Linked DNA regions of Canis lupus familiaris. The protein of the gene in region 1 purifies or fractionates together with the protein of each later gene. This does not show direct contact. Links are inferred from orthologs where the notes say so. Each region holds a gene or a part of one and is shown in the gene's direction. Other genes may lie near its edges.

What was found.
Region 2: the proteins of ARID1B (region 1) and DPF2 purify together in Homo sapiens (affinity purification with mass spectrometry; 7 studies listed by BioGRID and IntAct, counting the BioPlex papers as one, with this or other methods). This does not show direct contact. The link is inferred for Canis lupus familiaris from reciprocal best matches to the Homo sapiens genes ARID1B and DPF2.
Region 3: the proteins of ARID1B (region 1) and BCL7C purify together in Homo sapiens (affinity purification with mass spectrometry; 4 studies listed by BioGRID and IntAct, counting the BioPlex papers as one, with this or other methods). This does not show direct contact. The link is inferred for Canis lupus familiaris from reciprocal best matches to the Homo sapiens genes ARID1B and BCL7C.
Region 4: the proteins of ARID1B (region 1) and SMARCD2 purify together in Homo sapiens (affinity purification with mass spectrometry; 5 studies listed by BioGRID and IntAct, with this or other methods). This does not show direct contact. The link is inferred for Canis lupus familiaris from reciprocal best matches to the Homo sapiens genes ARID1B and SMARCD2.

The regions. Positions count from the first base shown.
Region 1 is NC_049222.1:47,282,140-47,285,624, forward strand, and holds part of ARID1B (AT-rich interactive domain-containing protein 1B), read left to right. Parts: intron 1-152; coding exon 153-283; intron 284-2,410; coding exon 2,411-3,485. UniProt on the Homo sapiens protein: Involved in transcriptional activation and repression of select genes by chromatin remodeling (alteration of DNA-nucleosome topology).
Region 2 is NC_049239.1:52,339,197-52,342,463, reverse strand, and holds part of DPF2 (zinc finger protein ubi-d4), read left to right. Parts: coding exon 1-89; intron 90-202; coding exon 203-331; intron 332-421; coding exon 422-534; intron 535-1,752; coding exon 1,753-1,834; intron 1,835-3,267. UniProt on the Homo sapiens protein: Plays an active role in transcriptional regulation by binding modified histones H3 and H4. Is a negative regulator of myeloid differentiation of hematopoietic progenitor cells. Might also have a role in the development and maturation of lymphoid cells.
Region 3 is NC_049227.1:17,466,374-17,471,110, forward strand, and holds the start of BCL7C (B-cell CLL/lymphoma 7 protein family member C), read left to right. Parts: upstream 1-1,693; 5' UTR 1,694-1,790; coding exon 1,791-1,882; intron 1,883-2,389; coding exon 2,390-2,468; intron 2,469-2,769; coding exon 2,770-2,878; intron 2,879-2,980; coding exon 2,981-3,142; intron 3,143-4,439; exon of another isoform or gene 4,440-4,585; coding exon 4,586-4,671; exon of another isoform or gene 4,672-4,737. UniProt on the Homo sapiens protein: May play an anti-apoptotic role.
Region 4 is NC_049230.1:15,127,254-15,132,219, forward strand, and holds the start of SMARCD2 (SWI/SNF-related matrix-associated actin-dependent regulator of chromatin subfamily D member 2), read left to right. Parts: upstream 1-1,956; coding exon 1,957-2,172; intron 2,173-4,629; exon of another isoform or gene 4,630-4,845; intron 4,846-4,966. UniProt on the Homo sapiens protein: Involved in transcriptional activation and repression of select genes by chromatin remodeling (alteration of DNA-nucleosome topology).

The DNA.
Region 1 (3,485 bases):
AATACCTGAGCCGAAGGCAGACACTTCACCAACTGAGCCACCCAGGCACCCCTACACTCAGCTTCTCTTTCCTTATTCTTCTGTTATTTTCTTCTGTCCTTTCATGCATAGAGTTAATATTAATTATGCCCTGATCTTTCCCCTGGTTTTAGTTACTCCTGAGGCTTGGCGTGTGATGATGTCCCTTAAGTCAGGTCTTCTAGCTGAAAGTACTTGGGCTCTGGACACTATTAACATTCTCCTGTACGATGACAGCACCGTCGCTACCTTCAGTCTCTCCCAGGTAAGCCAGTAACCCATCCATGGGCCCAAGTGGCTTAAGAAAGGGCTGTAGTGCACAGTGTCAGCAAATGTGAGAGGTGATTGGCGCCCCCAGCGGACGTGGCGGTCCCAGAGAATTGAGTTGGGAATAAGTCACTTCACGCTCTAGTATTAGCACACACATACTTGTTTTTATCACAAAGAAACTATCCCCTTGTGTGCACGCACATATGTGCGTGTGCATGTGCGTGTGGAATAGACTGTAGTAAAGGTGAGTTCCTTAGAATGACTGTCAGCAGGCAGGCGGGAGAGAATCCAAATATATCATCAAGCTGGGACTGGAGTCAGTATTGGGTATGCAGGAGCTTTCTCTGGGACATACCCTGCTTTCTAGGGAGACCAGGCCTCTTTCTTTTAATTAAAAAGAAATGTTATATTATAGAAAATGTAGGTTATAGGGAGAGGTAGAGAGAACAGTTTAATGAACCCCCATAGCCCCATTATTTGGCTGAGATAGTTGTGAACTCAGCGCCAGGAGCGTTTCTTGGTCCATTTCCTCCATTTCTGCCTCTCCACCTTATTTTGAAGCAGTCGTGTGAAAGCCTACTACTTTTAATAAGATTAAAGCGCGCCCTTGTCCAGTGGTAGGCCTAATGTAGCTTCCAGTGTAACTGCTAGAAAAGAGAAGGGAGCAGAGGGTTAGGCAAAATGCCCAAGAGCCAACTGAGCTACGAACTTTATTTTTTTAGCTACAAACTTTTAAAGAAATACTTAGAAACAAAAATGAAGAAAGGTAATTCTCCCTACTGTGGATGAACAATTGTCTGCGGGTGAAAAAAGCCCAAACATCTAATTACCTTGCTTCTGTTGACATTGGACCAGAATCTTCCACCTTATGTTCCTTCTCATATTTAAGTCCTCATAGTAGCCCTGAAAGGCAGTTTTTCACTGGATCAGAAGTGTATTAATAAGGTTATAAACATCTCATGAAGTCTATTGTAACAGAAAATACTAAAAACTGTATATACTTCCTTTGCTCAAGTAATGACCTTTCATCCTTAGGTTAGCAGAGTGAACTACTATTGATCACACATTTTAATAACCAGAATTGCTTTAGTGACTTACCCCTTACCCCCAGGGAAAAAGTCAACTTTAAGGGGTGGGAGGGTCCAAACCCCCAGATCTTCACTTGAAAAACTGTGGGATGTGCCTTCATCCCCTAAAAACAGAGTACTTTGTGGGCAGTACTTAAGTGTCCCCTTACTTCTTAATAACAGTTCTAAATCCGCTTTCAAGAAATTGAGAGCAGGATATGACAGTATGGGTGATTTCCAAAACACCTATCATTGAAGAATCCTTCTGTACTTACCTGTCCTCTACCCACCCAGATGTGGTGGGGTGGGCATTGAGGGAGGAGAGCTGGGCAGTGGCTAATCACAGGGTTATCGGTTTTCTCGAGCCAAACATTTGCTTACGGGACACAAAACTGATTCTCAGAGTTGCTTTTGTCTTTCAGCTGCAGTTGTGAGAGCTGCAATGTAAAAGTGCATTCTACGAGACATTCTAATTCATTTATCAGGGACTAAATTGATTTGTTTTTAATTTTCTGTGTTTATGAGCTACTACATTGCTGAAATTATCTTCTCCCAAAGATATATGGAGGATGTAAATTAGAGTAACCTATGGCACCTGAGACAAAAATAACCGTAAAATCCTAACAATAATAACCATAAAAATCCAGGCAAGCAAGTCTCAGATAAAATAGCAGAAGAGAACAGACTCACTTTGGGTGAATGAGTCTATAAAATCCAGGTTCCCACTCTTCTAGTATAGAGCACCTCGTACCTAAATGAGAAGAAAAGACAATATTAAAAAATAAGAAAATAACAGTGAAGGTTTCATACTGAAGGAGTGGGAAAGTAAGCAGCAAATAGAAAGCATGGTAAACGTTGGCTTCGTTAACAATATAAAATTCAGGGAGACCTTTCTAACTCGTGTGTAGTCTCTCTTTGGCCTAGCCAACAAGGAATTAAAACATGTGAAAATTACCCTTAAAAAAAATGTGTTGGTAGCCACCAGGATTGACCCTTTTCAGTCCTTCCTGACCTGATGACATTGTACCCGCTCTTGTTCTTGTCCTTCCTTCTAGTTGTCTGGATTTCTCGAACTTTTAGTAGAGTACTTTAGGAAATGCCTAATTGACATCTTTGGAATTCTGATGGAATACGAGGTGGGAGACCCCAGCCAGAAAGCACTTGATCACAATGCAGTGAAGAGAGACGATGGCCAGTCGTCGGCTGACGATTCCGGGAAAGAGGAGGATGACACCGAGTGCGTGGACGAAGAGGACGAGGAGGATGAGGACGAGGACGAGGAGGACAGCGGGAAGCCAGAGACGGAGAGGAGCAGCGTGACTCTGGCCTCTCCCACTGCCCCCGCAGATCCAAAGGAGAAGCCCCGGCAGGCCAGTAAGTTCGACAAGCTGCCCATAAAGATAGTCAAAAAGAACAACCTGTTTGTCGTCGACCGGTCGGACAAGCTGGGTCGCGTCCAGGAGTTCAACAGTGGGCTTCTCCACTGGCAGCTCGGTGGCGGCGACACCACCGAGCACATCCAGACTCACTTTGAGAGCAAGATGGAAATCCCTCCTCGTAGGCGTCCGCCTCCTGCTCTAAGCTCCGCAGGTAGGAAGAGAGAGCAAGAAGGAAGAGGGGAGGCTGAGGAGCAGCAAGAGAAAAGCATCATCGCAACCATCGACGATGTCCTGTCTGCTCGGCCGGGGGCGCTGCCTGAAGACGCGAACCCCGGCACCCAGACGGAGAGCGGTAAGTTCCCCTTTGGGATACATCAAGCCAAAAGTCACCGGAACATCAAGCTGCTGGAGGACGAGCCAAGGAGCCGAGACGAGACTCCTCTCTGCACCATCGCGCACTGGCAGGATTCCCTGGCCAAGCGCTGTATCTGTGTGTCCAATATTGTCCGTAGCTTGTCTTTTGTGCCTGGCAACGACGCCGAGATGTCCAAACATCCAGGCTTGGTGCTGATCCTGGGGAAGCTGATTCTTCTTCACCACGAGCATCCGGAGAGGAAGCGAGCGCCGCAGACCTATGAGAAAGAGGAAGACGAGGACAAAGGGGTGGCCTGCAGCAAGGATGAGTGGTGGTGGGACTGCCTGGAGGTCTTAAGGGACAACACGTTAGTCACATTGGCCAACATTTCTGGGC
Region 2 (3,267 bases), on another chromosome or scaffold:
CCACTCCCACTTGGCTGAGGAGGAGGGTGAGGACAAGGAAGACTCGCAGCCACCCACCCCAGTTTCCCAGAGGTCAGAGGAGCAGAAATGTAAGCTGACAAGTCAAGCAGGAATCATCTGCTCCTGAAAAGCCTTTCCTGTAGGGCCACTGGGTGCCTAGAGGCCCCCGTGAGCCTCGTCAGAACTTTCTTCCTCTCTGTAGCCAAGAAGGGTCCTGATGGACTGGCCCTGCCCAACAACTACTGTGACTTCTGCCTTGGGGACTCCAAGATCAATAAGAAGACGGGGCAGCCTGAGGAGCTGGTGTCCTGCTCCGACTGCGGCCGCTCAGGTACCTCCAGTCTGGGGCCCAGGGCCTGCCCGGGAGCCCTCTGCGTGCCCCAGCTGCCTGTGTGACACCCCCTCTCCCTCCCGCCCCTAGGGCACCCTTCTTGCTTGCAGTTCACCCCAGTGATGATGGCGGCCGTGAAGACCTACCGCTGGCAGTGCATCGAGTGCAAGTGCTGCAACATCTGTGGCACCTCCGAGAACGATGTGCGTGTCCCCTTGCCATCCCCCTCCCCTCTCTCCCCTCTGTGCTGTCCCCCACACCCCAGGGAGGACTTGCTTGGCCAGTGCCTCTTGTGTGCCATCTTGGCGTCAGATACCGTTCCAGGTGCTCATCGTGCTAAACAAGACCAACAAGGTCCCTGCCTTCACGGAATTTACCTCCTTGTGGGGAACAAGCAGTGGGCAAGGAAAGGAGCGACGGTTTTGTGGCATGCTGTGAAGAGAAGGACAGCAGCAGTGGGGCAGTCATCTGGTACCTGATGTAGATAGTCAGGACTGGCTTTTCCAAGGAGGTGGTCTTGGTGTTGAGATTTGGATGAAACAGAGGAGCCAGTCCAAGGAGATTTGCGGCCACAGCATGCCCAGCATGCCCAGGAGACAAGCAACCAGGATGGGGCCTCAAGGCAGACGGGCCAAGTTTACCAAGGCTGTTTGGCTGGCTGGGGCTTCCTTGAAGCGGGAGCACACTAGGAGAAGGGATTGGAAGGTGGCCATCACCAGGTCTGAGGGTTTCATCGAGAGTGATGTGCTATCTTAACTTTTTTTTTTTTAAGATTTTATTCATGAGAGAGACAGAGAGAGGCAGAGACACAGGCAGAGGGAGAAGCAGGCTCCGTGCAGGGAGCCTGATGTGGGGCTCAATTCTAGGACTCCAGGATCACTTAGCCACCTGGGCCAAAGGCGGCACTAAACCACTGAGCCACCCGGGCTGCCCTGTCTTAACATTATTTTTTTTTAAGACTTTATTTATTTATTAGAGGCAGAGACATAGGTAGAGAGAGAAGCAGGCTCCAGTCAGGGAGCCTGATGGTGGGACTCGATCCCAGGTCTCCAGGGTCATGCCCTAGGCTGAAGGCGATGCTAAACCGCCAAGCCACCAGGGCTGCCCATGTCGTAACATTTTTAAAAGATAACTTCACTCTCTGAAAAATAGAATGTAAAGGATGAGTGGAGGCCATGAGCTGAGTTCGGATGCTGGTACAGTTCAGGTGGAATGACAGCGACTCAGTCTGGATGGAGAAGGACGGCAGCCTGAATTTCCTATCCAGAAATTCCTGAATCTGCTCTTCCCTGCCATCTGCCCCACCCCTCCTGAAAGCAGCAGTGTCTGCAGAAGCCCCCATCTCTGCCCACCCCTGGTGGGCCACCTGAAGCCCACCAGTCACTCACCTGCCTCTTCCTCTTCCATCTGGCCTTTTCTAGGACCAGCTGCTTTTCTGTGATGACTGTGACCGTGGCTACCATATGTACTGTCTCACCCCGTCCATGTCTGAGCCTCCTGAAGGTAGGTTGCCCTAATCTCTTATCAGAACAAGTATCTTATCAGTAACAGGAAAGGAGTTCTCTTACTAGTAATCTGTTCTTTCAAAATTGGGAATAGATGCTTTGCCTTCACTCAGAATGCTTTCCTAGTATTTTGACTTCCAGGGTCTAACGTTTGCACATTATCACCAGATGCATTTAGAAATGCAGAAAATCAACAGCCCTTGAGACGACTGGTGTTGAGTGGAAAACAGTTACCAGAAGGAGCGGTTTAACTTCCTTCAACCAGTCCAGGAAACTCAGTTTGTAGTTACATGAGGCTTTGGTAGCAGCTCTTTGAACATGACAGGTTTGAGTGTCCCATTTCTTCCTATTTCCCTTGCCCACTCTGGAAAGGTGTTGAACCTAGAGCCTGAATGGATCACTCTGCCCTTCCAGCAATTTGCTTAATAATGCTCCAAGTTTGTGGAAGCTCTTTAGCCACACCAGTGGTGGCACCAGAAAGTGGTGGTCTCTCTGCAGGTCCCCCTCCAGCCAGATCTCTGTGCCCCAACCCCTCCTTTATAGAAATTCAGGAGCTTACTCAGGAGGATGTGAATGCCCAGTGGCTTTTACTGTGCACAAAGGATGTGGGCCAGCATTACAGACCAGAGAAAGTGGCTCACTGTGTGGTTAAGCTGACTTGTAATATAGGTCAAACTGCTGTCAACCCCCTAGGGAAGGAGGCATGAACAAAGTCTGAGAGTCCTTTGGCAGCTGCAGGGGAGCACACAGCTATTGTCATCTGTCATGCCCAGTTTATAAATCTACTTTGGGGAGAAGTAGTGTGTTCTTTTATTTTTTTTTTTAAACCATAAAATATCAATTTACAGACAAAATTCTCCATGAACTGTAGAAGGGCTTTCCTATTGAAGTACTGTCAGAGGCCAGTGAAGAGCTGCAGGCAGCTGAGGGAGAGCCCTCTAGAAGCCACGAGATTCTTAAGTCAGGGCGTCAGCAAACTATAGCCTGCAGCTAGTGTGTATAGCTCATAAGCTAAGAATGGTTTTTACATTTTTAAAGGAGATTTAAAAAAAGAACATTGAAGCAAGACTATATGTGGCTCACAAAGCCTAAAATATTTAACACTCTGGCTGGCTGTTTACAGAGAAGCCTGCCAGTCCCTGTGGTATTGACCTTTGGGTTAGAAAGGACCTCCTTACATTTTGAGAGCCCTGTATCTCTGAAGAGCTTATAAAAGTGTGGATTCTTGCCCCCATATGCATCCACATAAACATACGTACAGTTGCACTTACAATTTTGAGGCATTAAGAGCTAGCTTTGTTTCTATAAAAAACACGGGAGAATGCACCCATAAGCAAATTATGAAATGCTTATTTTTCTGGCCAGGGACATTTTTCCCAGTTTTCCTGAGGGGCAGACCGTAACACACTGGGTCGTCAGAGTTCATCCGTC
Region 3 (4,737 bases), on another chromosome or scaffold:
ACAATTGCCAGAATAAAAGAAGATATTAACTAGAGGAAGTGGGTGCAACTGAAGCCAGACTGTTGGTAGAGGCCACAATCACACAGTCATTAACAGTGAATATTTATTGGGCATTTACTATGTGCGTGGCATGGCTCCAGGAATTGCATTAGATATTAACTTACTCTCATGTTACAGTTGAGGGAATAAAGATAAATGAGTTGTCCAAGGTCACTGGACATGAAGAGCTGGGATTTTCCCAGGAGCAGTTAGGCTCTAGAAATTTGGTCATAATCACCCTCCTATACCTTAATCCCTCTGGACATAATCACACCAAAACACACAGAGACAAGAGCCACACACCCTTGAAACACACACATAGAGCAACACACACTGGCAAACAGATTCAAATAAAATCAACCAAAACACACGCATTTTAAGTAAACTTTTAATTGAAGCATATAATATACATAGGGAAAAGTGTACAGTTCGGTGAATATTCAGAGTAAATGTACTGGTGGTGGTGGGGGGATCAGCACCAGATTCAGATTAAGAAACTGAATGTGACCAGTCCAAGAGCTCCCTTTTGGCCTCTCCCAAGAGTGACCACTATCCTGAGTTCTCACACCACAAATTAGTTTTGTTTTGAATTTCATATAAAAGGAATCATATAATGCGTACTGTTGTATCTGATTTCTTTCATGAGACTTGTCCCTGTTGTCTGTGTAGCAGGATATCACTCTCTGCTGTGTCCACTGTGTGAACAGGCTACAATTCATTTTCCACTCTACTCCTGATGGGCTGTTTCCAATTTGAGGCCGTGCTCTACGGTGCTATGAAGATTCCAGTACACATCACTTGGTGCTCACACCTACGCATTTCTCTCAGCTTCTCTAGAAAACTGCCAGTTTGGGTGGCCCCGGTGGTGCAGCTGTTTAGCGCCGCCTGCAGTCTAGGGCGTGATCCTGAAGACCCTAGATCGAGTCCCACGTCAGGCTCTCTGCATGGTGCCTGCTTGTCTCTCTGCCCCTCTCTCTTTCTCTCTGTGTCTCTGTGAATGAATAAATAAATAATTAAAAAAAAAAACCTGCCCGTTTTCCAAAGCATCTCTATCCATTTTCACTACCCCAGGAACATGAGAGGTCTGGTTGCTCTACTCCTTTGTCTACACTTGATATGGTCTGTCGTTCTCATTTTAGCCATTCTGGTGGGTGGAGACCTACTCATATTTGCAGCATCTGGCCAGAAATGGGCACTCTGAATAGACTGCTGAATGAATGGCTGAGGAAGAGCTGGACAGGGCGGGAGCGACAGCCAGGGGAGGCTGGACACACGCTCTGCACGCAGCACGAGGGCCACCCCCGCGCCACAGACGCTCGCCGTGAGAGTGACCCTCTCGCGCCCCCTCCTCCTCCCCGCGCCCACGTGGTCTGAACGCACCTCCCCGGCCCGGCGGCGCGCGCCCTGGCGCCAAGCTGTCCCCAACCCTCCCTCTTGGCGGCGGGTAGGGGGCGCTGCGCGTCGGGGCGCCCCGAGGGGGCGGGCCCGGTCGGGGCGGGGCCGGCCGGCTTCCAGGCCTGGGCTTTGGCCGCCCGCACCGCCGGGCCGCTCCGGGGACGGGCCGGGGCGGGGCGCGGCAGCAGGAAACGGGGCGGGGACTCGCGGAGGCGTTGGGGAGCGAGGGAGGGCGCGGCCAACTCCCGGAGGGACGGCAGGCCGAGAGAGCGGCGCCCGGGTCTGGCCCGAGCCTGAGCCCGCCGGACGGGAGGCGGCCCAGCCGCGGGCTCGGCCTCGGCCCCAGTCCCGCCAGCATGGCCGGCCGGACCGTGCGGGCCGAGACCCGGAGCCGGGCCAAAGATGACATCAAGAAGGTGATGGCGACCATCGAGAAGGTCCGGAGATGGTGAGCGCTGCCCGGGGGCCAGGGATGGGACCCGGCGGGACCACTCCTCCCCCAAATGCGTCTAACCTCCCCTTCGCCGGCCGTGGCCGCAGGGTGTTAGGTGTGCCCCCCGGAGCTACAGGGCTCTGTCCCCCTTCTGGCTACACCCTAGGGTCTACAAAGCGTGTTCCCAAGCCGTACCCTCATTTATGCCCCGCCCCCTTAAGCTTTGACACTCCTCCCTCAAGTATGTCCAGGATCTTCATTGCTATGGTCCCCAGCCAGGCCCTCAGCCTTGCTCCCTTGTATACCCCAGGGGTCTGCAGAGCCATGGCCCCAAACCGTGCTCTCTCCTTAGAGGCACCCCTGTTTATGGCCTGGGGTCTGCAGGACTCTCTTTCTCCTTCTAACCATATGCCCCATTAGCGAAACCGCAGCACCCCCAAGTCTACAGGTCTCCCCAGATGTGTTCAGCTCCTGGGGGGGGCTCTCTCCTCAGAATTCTGACCCAGTCCCCCCCTCCCACAGGGAGAAGCGCTGGGTGACTGTGGGCGACACTTCCCTTCGTATCTTCAAGTGGGTGCCAGTGGTGGACCCCCAGGAGGAGGTGAGCAAACTCCCCCACTGTGCACCCTCAGGCAAGCCCCTTCCAATCCCAGCCTCCACCTCCAGTCCTGCTCTGAGACCTCAAATGCAGCAGCCAAGACAGATGTTAACAATTATTAGCAACTCCACCCCCTTCTCCCTTTTTCCTGCTTCAGACCCCTGAGTTCAAGCCCTAATCCACTGTGCCAGCCTCCTGTAGGGCCTTTTGCTGCTCTGTGCCTCAGTCTCCTTATTTGGACAGTGGGGGCTTTGCAAGCACTAACTGGAAAGCCGGAGCTGACCCTTATCCCTCTAACCCCCAGGAACGACGGAGGGCAGGTGGCGGGACAGAGAGATCCCGAGGCCGGGAGCGGCGGGGCAGGGGCACCAGTCCCCGAGGGGGTGGTCCCCTCATCCTGCTGGATCTCAATGGTATGTAGGGATCCTGGGATTTGGGGGGGTGTTGTGGGATGGGGAATTGAGGGAGCAGATTGGGGCTCTCAGGCCCAATGCTCTCGGCTTTTGCTCCCACAGATGAAAACAGTAACCAGAGTTTCCATTCGGAAGGCTCCCTGCAAAAGGGCACCGAGCCCAGCCCTGGGGGTACCCCCCAGCCCAGCCGCCCTGTGTCACCTGCTGGACCACCAGAAGGGGTCCCAGAGGATGCTCAGCCCCCACGGCTGGGCCAAGAGAGAGGTAGGACCAGGTGCCTCCCTGCAGCCCTCTCTTCTGAGTTGGCTGGTGGCTGAGTTGGAGCCATCAGCTTACCCCTACCTACACCTGCTCCCCTCCTTGTTATCCCCTTCCAGAGGCCTTCCCTGACTCCTGCAGAAAGTCACCATCCTACCTCCAGTAGCTAACTGTCTCATTCATCCGGCTTCTTTGGGTCTTTTTTTTTTTTCCCTTTGGGTCTTTATGTAATTAATCACTGTCTGAGATTTTCATGTAAATTTTATTTTTTACTACTCAAATTTCTTCCCCCACTCCCACCTCATGTTGGCTTCCTGAACTTTGGGCCCATGTTGCTCCTGTCCATTACTAGATCCTCAGAACAATGTGGGACACATAGAATGTACTCAATAAATATTTGTTAAGGAATGAATAATAGTGATATTCCTGAGGGTGATTAATAAGTGATAATGATAGCTAAGACTTATTGAGCTCTGTGTGCCAGATACCATTCTAAGCACTGAACATGTTTGATTTCATTTAATCCTCACTATAACCCTATGAAAGTTATAATCCCCACATGTGGATGAGAAGCTGAAACCCAGAGAAGTCTCCTAAGCTCACATGGCCAATGAGCCAGCATCTTGGGCATAATTTTGCCTTAGCTCCTCTTTCTTCCATATAGTCAATCCCCTGTCTGGTCGGAACCACCTTGCAAATGTGTCTCCCTTCCTATAAGAGCCATCTCTTACCTGTGCCTGGCTCCAGCCTCCTTGTGGGTCTCCTCTTCCCTAGTCACCTCTACACAGCTGCCAGAGCAACTTTTTCTAAAGCATAGATATGGCAGGCTCATTTTCCTGCTTCAAAGCCTTCAATGGCTCCTATGGCCTTTGACTCCTCCACTTGGCACTCACGGCCCTTCGTGAACTATCCCTGTTGGTCTCATTGTTCCTTTCCAGGAATACCATGACTTGGGCCTATGGGCCTATGGGCTGTGTCTAGATTGTACCGTGCACTTGGGTACCTTTACTAATACAAAAACAACAGGCATTTATTGAGCGCTTTCTATGTGCTAGACACTGTACTGAGGGCTTTACCTGTATTATCTCATTGCATCCTCACAACAGTCTCATGTGGTAATTACTATCATTATCCCCACTTTGCAGGTGGGGAAACTAAGTCCAGAGGAATTAAGTCACTTGCCCAAGGTCAGGATTTGAACCGGAGGAATCCAACCTCAGAATCTGTCCTCACAAACATATAGTCTGTCTGCCTAAAATGTGCTCCATCTCCACATTTGTCTACCCGATCAGATCCTACTCACCCATCAAGATCCCACTTAAATGTCCTTGCTGTGTCTTCCTCTGGCCAATAGCAAGGTTCCCAGCTCACTCCTTGGTGTCCCCAACCAGGGTCTGTGTTGTGGCACGGAGGAGCCACTCAGGGAATTCTGTTAACTTGATGTTCCAGATCCTGGGGGCATCACTGCAGGCAGCACGGATGAACCCCCAATGCTGACCAAGGAGGAGCCTGTTCCAGAATTGCTGGAGGCTGAGGTGAGAGAGGCCAGATGGCTGGGCCCCCTGGGTCTCAGAGGCAGTGGGGGGTTCTGGGGCAGCTGA
Region 4 (4,966 bases), on another chromosome or scaffold:
CACAAAAATGTGATTTGAAGGGGCACATGCACCCCAATGTTTATAGCAACAGAGTCCACAATTACCAAAATATGGAAAGAGCCAGATGTCCATCGAGGGATGAATGGATAAAGAAGATTTTATCTGTATATCTGTGTATCTCAAATAGAATATTACTCAACCATCAAGAATGAACTCTTGCCATTTGCAATGATGTGGATGGAACTAGAGTGTATTATGCTGAGCGAAGTAAGAGAAAGACAAAAATCGTATTTCATTCATGTGGAATTTAAGGAACAAAACAGATGAACACAGGAGGAGAGAAGGAAAAATAAGATGAAAATAGGCAAACCATAAGAGATTCTTGGCTCTAGAGAACAGAGTTGCTGGAGGGGAGGTGCTTGGACGGGGTGACTGGGTGATGGGCATTAAGGAGGGCACTTGATGTAATGAGCACTGGATGTTATGTGCAATTGATGAATCACTAAACTCTACCTTGAACCTAATAATACACTATATGTTAACTAACTTTAATTTAAATAAATAAATAAAAGAAATGCAGAAGCTTGAGCCTTACCCCAAACCCCAGGCATACTGAATCATAATCTGCATTTTAAACCAAAGCCCCAGATGTTTCTTTCTTTTTTTTTTTTTTTTTTTTAAGATTTTATTTATTCATGAGAGAGAGAAAGAGACAGAGACACAGGCAGAGGGAGAAGCAGGCTCCATGCAGGGAGCCCGAATGGGACTCGATCCCAGAACTCCAGGATCATGCCCTGGGCTGAAGGCAGCGCTAAACCACTGAGCCACCCGGGCTGCCCAAAAGCCCCAGATGTTTCTTGTGCTTATTAAAGTTTAAGAAGCACTGGCCTGTATCAGGGGGAGGAAACCCCAGATGACCAGCATGTAGGCTAACACAGCTGAAGGGCTTTATTTTGAATACCTTATGACACAGGATAGTGGTTTCTGAAAAGGTATTGAATTTTTTTTCCAATTAAGTACTATAAATCCTGGAGAAAGACCTTATTTAACTGCAGGGAGTTTTCTCACAAGGCAAAATTCCTCCCCCTAGAAACATTTCCTGTGGAGTAAAGTACTAGGCTTCCTTAAAGTGAGGCAGAGCCACGTTAAAAATATGCGATAAGAGCTCGGCGCAGGGCCAAGTCAGCCCGTCACACAGCTGGACTGGGTCTGGGGCAGCTGACGTCCCTTGGCAGCTCTGAGCCAGCAGGATGGGCTATTAAACAAAGTGAAGCTGGTGGCTCTTCTGCCTCAGGAAACAGCTCTAAGCTGAATTTTTACTGCCTAAAACATAGAAAAGCGACTTAAGTCAACTATTTTCAGGGAGTGTAACTGGGAACCTCGGGGGGCGGGCTCCACGGGGCAGAGATCAGCAACTCCCCACGCATTCTCTGTTGAAGCCCTTAGGTGACCTTCAACCTCTGACCCCGCGCCTTGCACAGCGCTTCCTGCGCAGCTTTCCGCCTCCGCCCCTCCGGTCAAGGGCGGGCCTGAGGCGTGGGGGCGTGGCTGGGGGGGGCGGCTGGCGGTTAGGGGCGGTGCTTGCTGGGGGCGGGTCTCGCGAGGGGCGGGATTTGAGCGGCACCGTGGCATTGGACTGCAGGTTCTAGGCGGGGCCTAGCGCCGGGCTTGTTTGGGCGGGGCTGGGAGTTAGTTGCCGCCTCCGGGTAACTGGACTCCGGCGGCCAAACCTCCGGAGGCCGCGAGCGTCAGGCGGGCGTGCAGCAGATCCCGGATCCGGAATTGCCCGGGCAGGACCGGAATCAGGATCGGCCCTGCCCCAAACCGGGTCTGCGAGGAGGAACTTGAGAACTTGGATTGGGAAATCCCGGAACCCGGATCAACAAGCCCCAGAACCCGGAATTTAGATCGGGAAGTCCCGGAGCACGGATCGCGGAGCGGACTCGACACGGAGCCCGGAGCCCGGATCGCGACACCGCCGGACGGGACGGAGCGATGTCGGGCCGTGGCGCGGGCGGGTTCCCGCTGCCTCCGCTGAGTCCTGGTGGCGGCGCCGTTGCCGCGGCCCTGGGAGCGCCGCCTCCGCCCGCGGGACCCGGCATGCTGCCGGGACCGGCGCTCAGGGGGCCAGGGCCGGCTGGCGGCGTGGGGGGCCCCGGGGCCGCCGCCTTCCGCCCCATGGGCCCCGCGGGCCCCGCGGCGCAGTACCAGGTGAGCAGCGCGGCCGGGCGGGCGGGTGGCGCCGCGAGGTCGCCCGGGGCGATGGGGCGATGGGGGCTGGAGTCGGGGCCGCGGGGCAGCCCCCGGGCGGGGCACGGGGGCCCGGCGTGCGGAGTGCGCGGGACGGGGTGCAGGGCAAGGCCGGGCGGCGGGGCAGCTCGGGGAGAGGGTCAGAGCGAGCCTGGGCTGGAGGGTTGGGGGCGGTTGGGAGGGTCTGGAGGTTTTCTTGGAACGGGGATTCTGAGTGAGAGGTGGAGGAACCGGAGCCCGGGAGCTGTGGGCGAGCGGACCGAGAAGTCTAGTGTAGGTCCTAGGGAAGGGGGCTCGGGGAAGTGCTGGGAAAGTTTTGCAAAAGGGCCCTCACGGAGAAACCAGGGTTACCCTGCCTTGGCCTTGGTCCCACTCCAAGTCTGCGCTGGGCTTTTTTTTTTTTTTTTTTTTCTTCTAGTTGGGAACTGGCAGAGTTCTAGCGTGTCTGAGATGGCTCCCAGCTGCTGATGGGGAGGAAGAAGGGCCTGGCTCCCCGCGGCCCGGGAGGTGGAGAACGGAGCAAGGGGACCCCAGCCTGTGCCGGGCAGGGTCTGCTCCAGGTCAGGCCCAGGAGCCCTCCCGTGGGGTGGCTCCGGGTTCGACCAGAGCTGGTGGTGGCCAGGCCTGAGGCAGGCGGAAAGCCCAGCCCGTTCTGGGCCGACTCTCCTTTTGGCTTTCTGCCTGGTGTCCTAGTGTCCAGGAGTTGGTTAGTGTGCAGGAGCAGAGAGGCTCCACTGAGCCCTGCTGGTCTGGGGCTGGAGGAGCCTGTCTGTGAGAGTTGCTTCAAAGAGTTCTGTCCTGACCCCTTTGGAGTTTGGCTTCCAAGAGAGCGCGTCTCAGGTTGCAGCTTCAAAGGCCGAGGAGAGGTAGAGACTCCATCCTTAGGGCCTGACCCTGCTGGTGGGGCTCATCAGTACCCCCCTCTCCAGTCCATTGTTTCTGGTTGCCCCAGAATGCTTGGGAATTGTGCCCATCCTTTTTTGCACTCTCTCTGCACTCTTATTTAGCCTTTAGGTTCTAGCAATGTCATATCCCAACCAACCCGTGTGCCCCAGCGTTTGGCACTGGCTTCTTTGCTAATCTCCCAAGGAAGCTGGGGTTGACTCTCTGGTCTCCAGGTAGAGGCTCCACAAATGGATCCTCATAGGATAGGATATGCTTATCTCCCTCGCCGCCCCCCTCAGAGCCCTGGGCCCTTACTTTCTAAAGAGACGCCTAACTGGGGACCCTGATTTTTCCCACTTACTCTTCATCCCCCCTCCTCTCTGTAAAGAAAACAAAATATCTGGGTACTGACAGAGATAATGCCAGTGACTCCCATCTTTCCCATCTTGCTTTCCCACTTGGGGATTCATGGGTCCAAGCTGATGCTGAGGGGTCTCGACATGAGTCATTACAGCCCCTGGGCCGGCTAGCTGAGCACAGGCCTTGGAGTCTCTCTGGGCCTTTGGTCTAAGAAGAGATAGGAGCCTCTCCAGTTGCCTTTGTTCAAAAGCTGTGAGCAGTGTGGCCTGGGGAAAGCCCTTGGATAATGGGTTCCACAGCCCTATGTAGGGAGTGGCCTTGGGCCAGTGGCAAGGTCCAGCTGACTGGCTGGGGAGCCCCAGGCTGCTAGGGTTGGGGACCAAAGGGTAGGCACTGAGCTTCTGCTTCTGCAAGCTTCCTGTCCCACCAGCTTTTCATAACCTCTTCCTCCTCCTCCAGGAAGGGACAGTAGAGGATCCAAGGGGAGAGGGAAGACCCAGTTCACCCTGGCTAAGTTCGAGTAAGATTCTGCTTGGCCTCTTTCTAAGTCCAGTTGTGTGACTTCCAGGAGATGGGACTTCAGAGGAGCAAAGGGGGTCCTGTCTGTTAGGGTACATGAAGTGAGCTAGAAGAGCAAGGCTTTCCAGGCCAAGTGGGGTAAGTTAGGGAACCTATGGAAAGAGGGGAAGTGATGACCCACCTCCCTCCACACAGTGGATCTAGCTGTGGATCATACTCGACAGAAGAGCTTAAGGAAAACAAGAAATGGGGCAGTTTGGGTGGCTCAGTGGTTTAGTGCCGCCTTCAGCCCAGTGCCTGATCCTGGGGACCCAAGATCGAGTCCCATGTCGGGCTCCCGGCAAGGAGCCTGCTTCTCCCTCTGCCTGTGTCTCTGCCTCTCATGAATAAATAAATAAAATCTTAAAAAAAAAAAAAAAAAAAAAAAGAAAGACAAAACAAAACCCAAAGAAACCCAGATTGTTGGGTTCACTCCAGAGTTCAAAATATTTTCTGCTTATGGAGGGGTATGTTCCCTTCTCTTAGGCCTGGGCCACCAGGGGCGCCAGGGCCACAGGCTTTGAGGCAGGGTGCTGCGTGCTCTCTGGAGGTGCAGCATTAGGCCCAGCCACGTGCCCTGCTGTCCTGGGCAGTGGAGGTAGAGTCACACTTAGGACATGGGCTGCTGCCGGGCAAGGGAGAGGACATTGTCACACACTTCCTAGCTTGAGCTTTACTGCAGGCAGGGACTTACAGAGCCTTGAGTGGCCTGACTGGGATTTGTTTTGGGGTGTTTTGTTTTTTCCTTTTTTTAATCTTGAAGAGGAGTTAACTGGTGCTCCAAAGAGCAGGTGTGGAGCTTGGCAAGACCAAGCTACGACTTCATGAGCTGTAAGTACCCCCCCACCCCCGGGCCCCTTTTCTCTCTTGGGAGAAGCCTGGGGCCCTGGCAAGCCTAGGGGGGCTGTGTGCCTGGGAAGTCTAGAGCAGATGTCTGGGAGGAGCCTTTTCC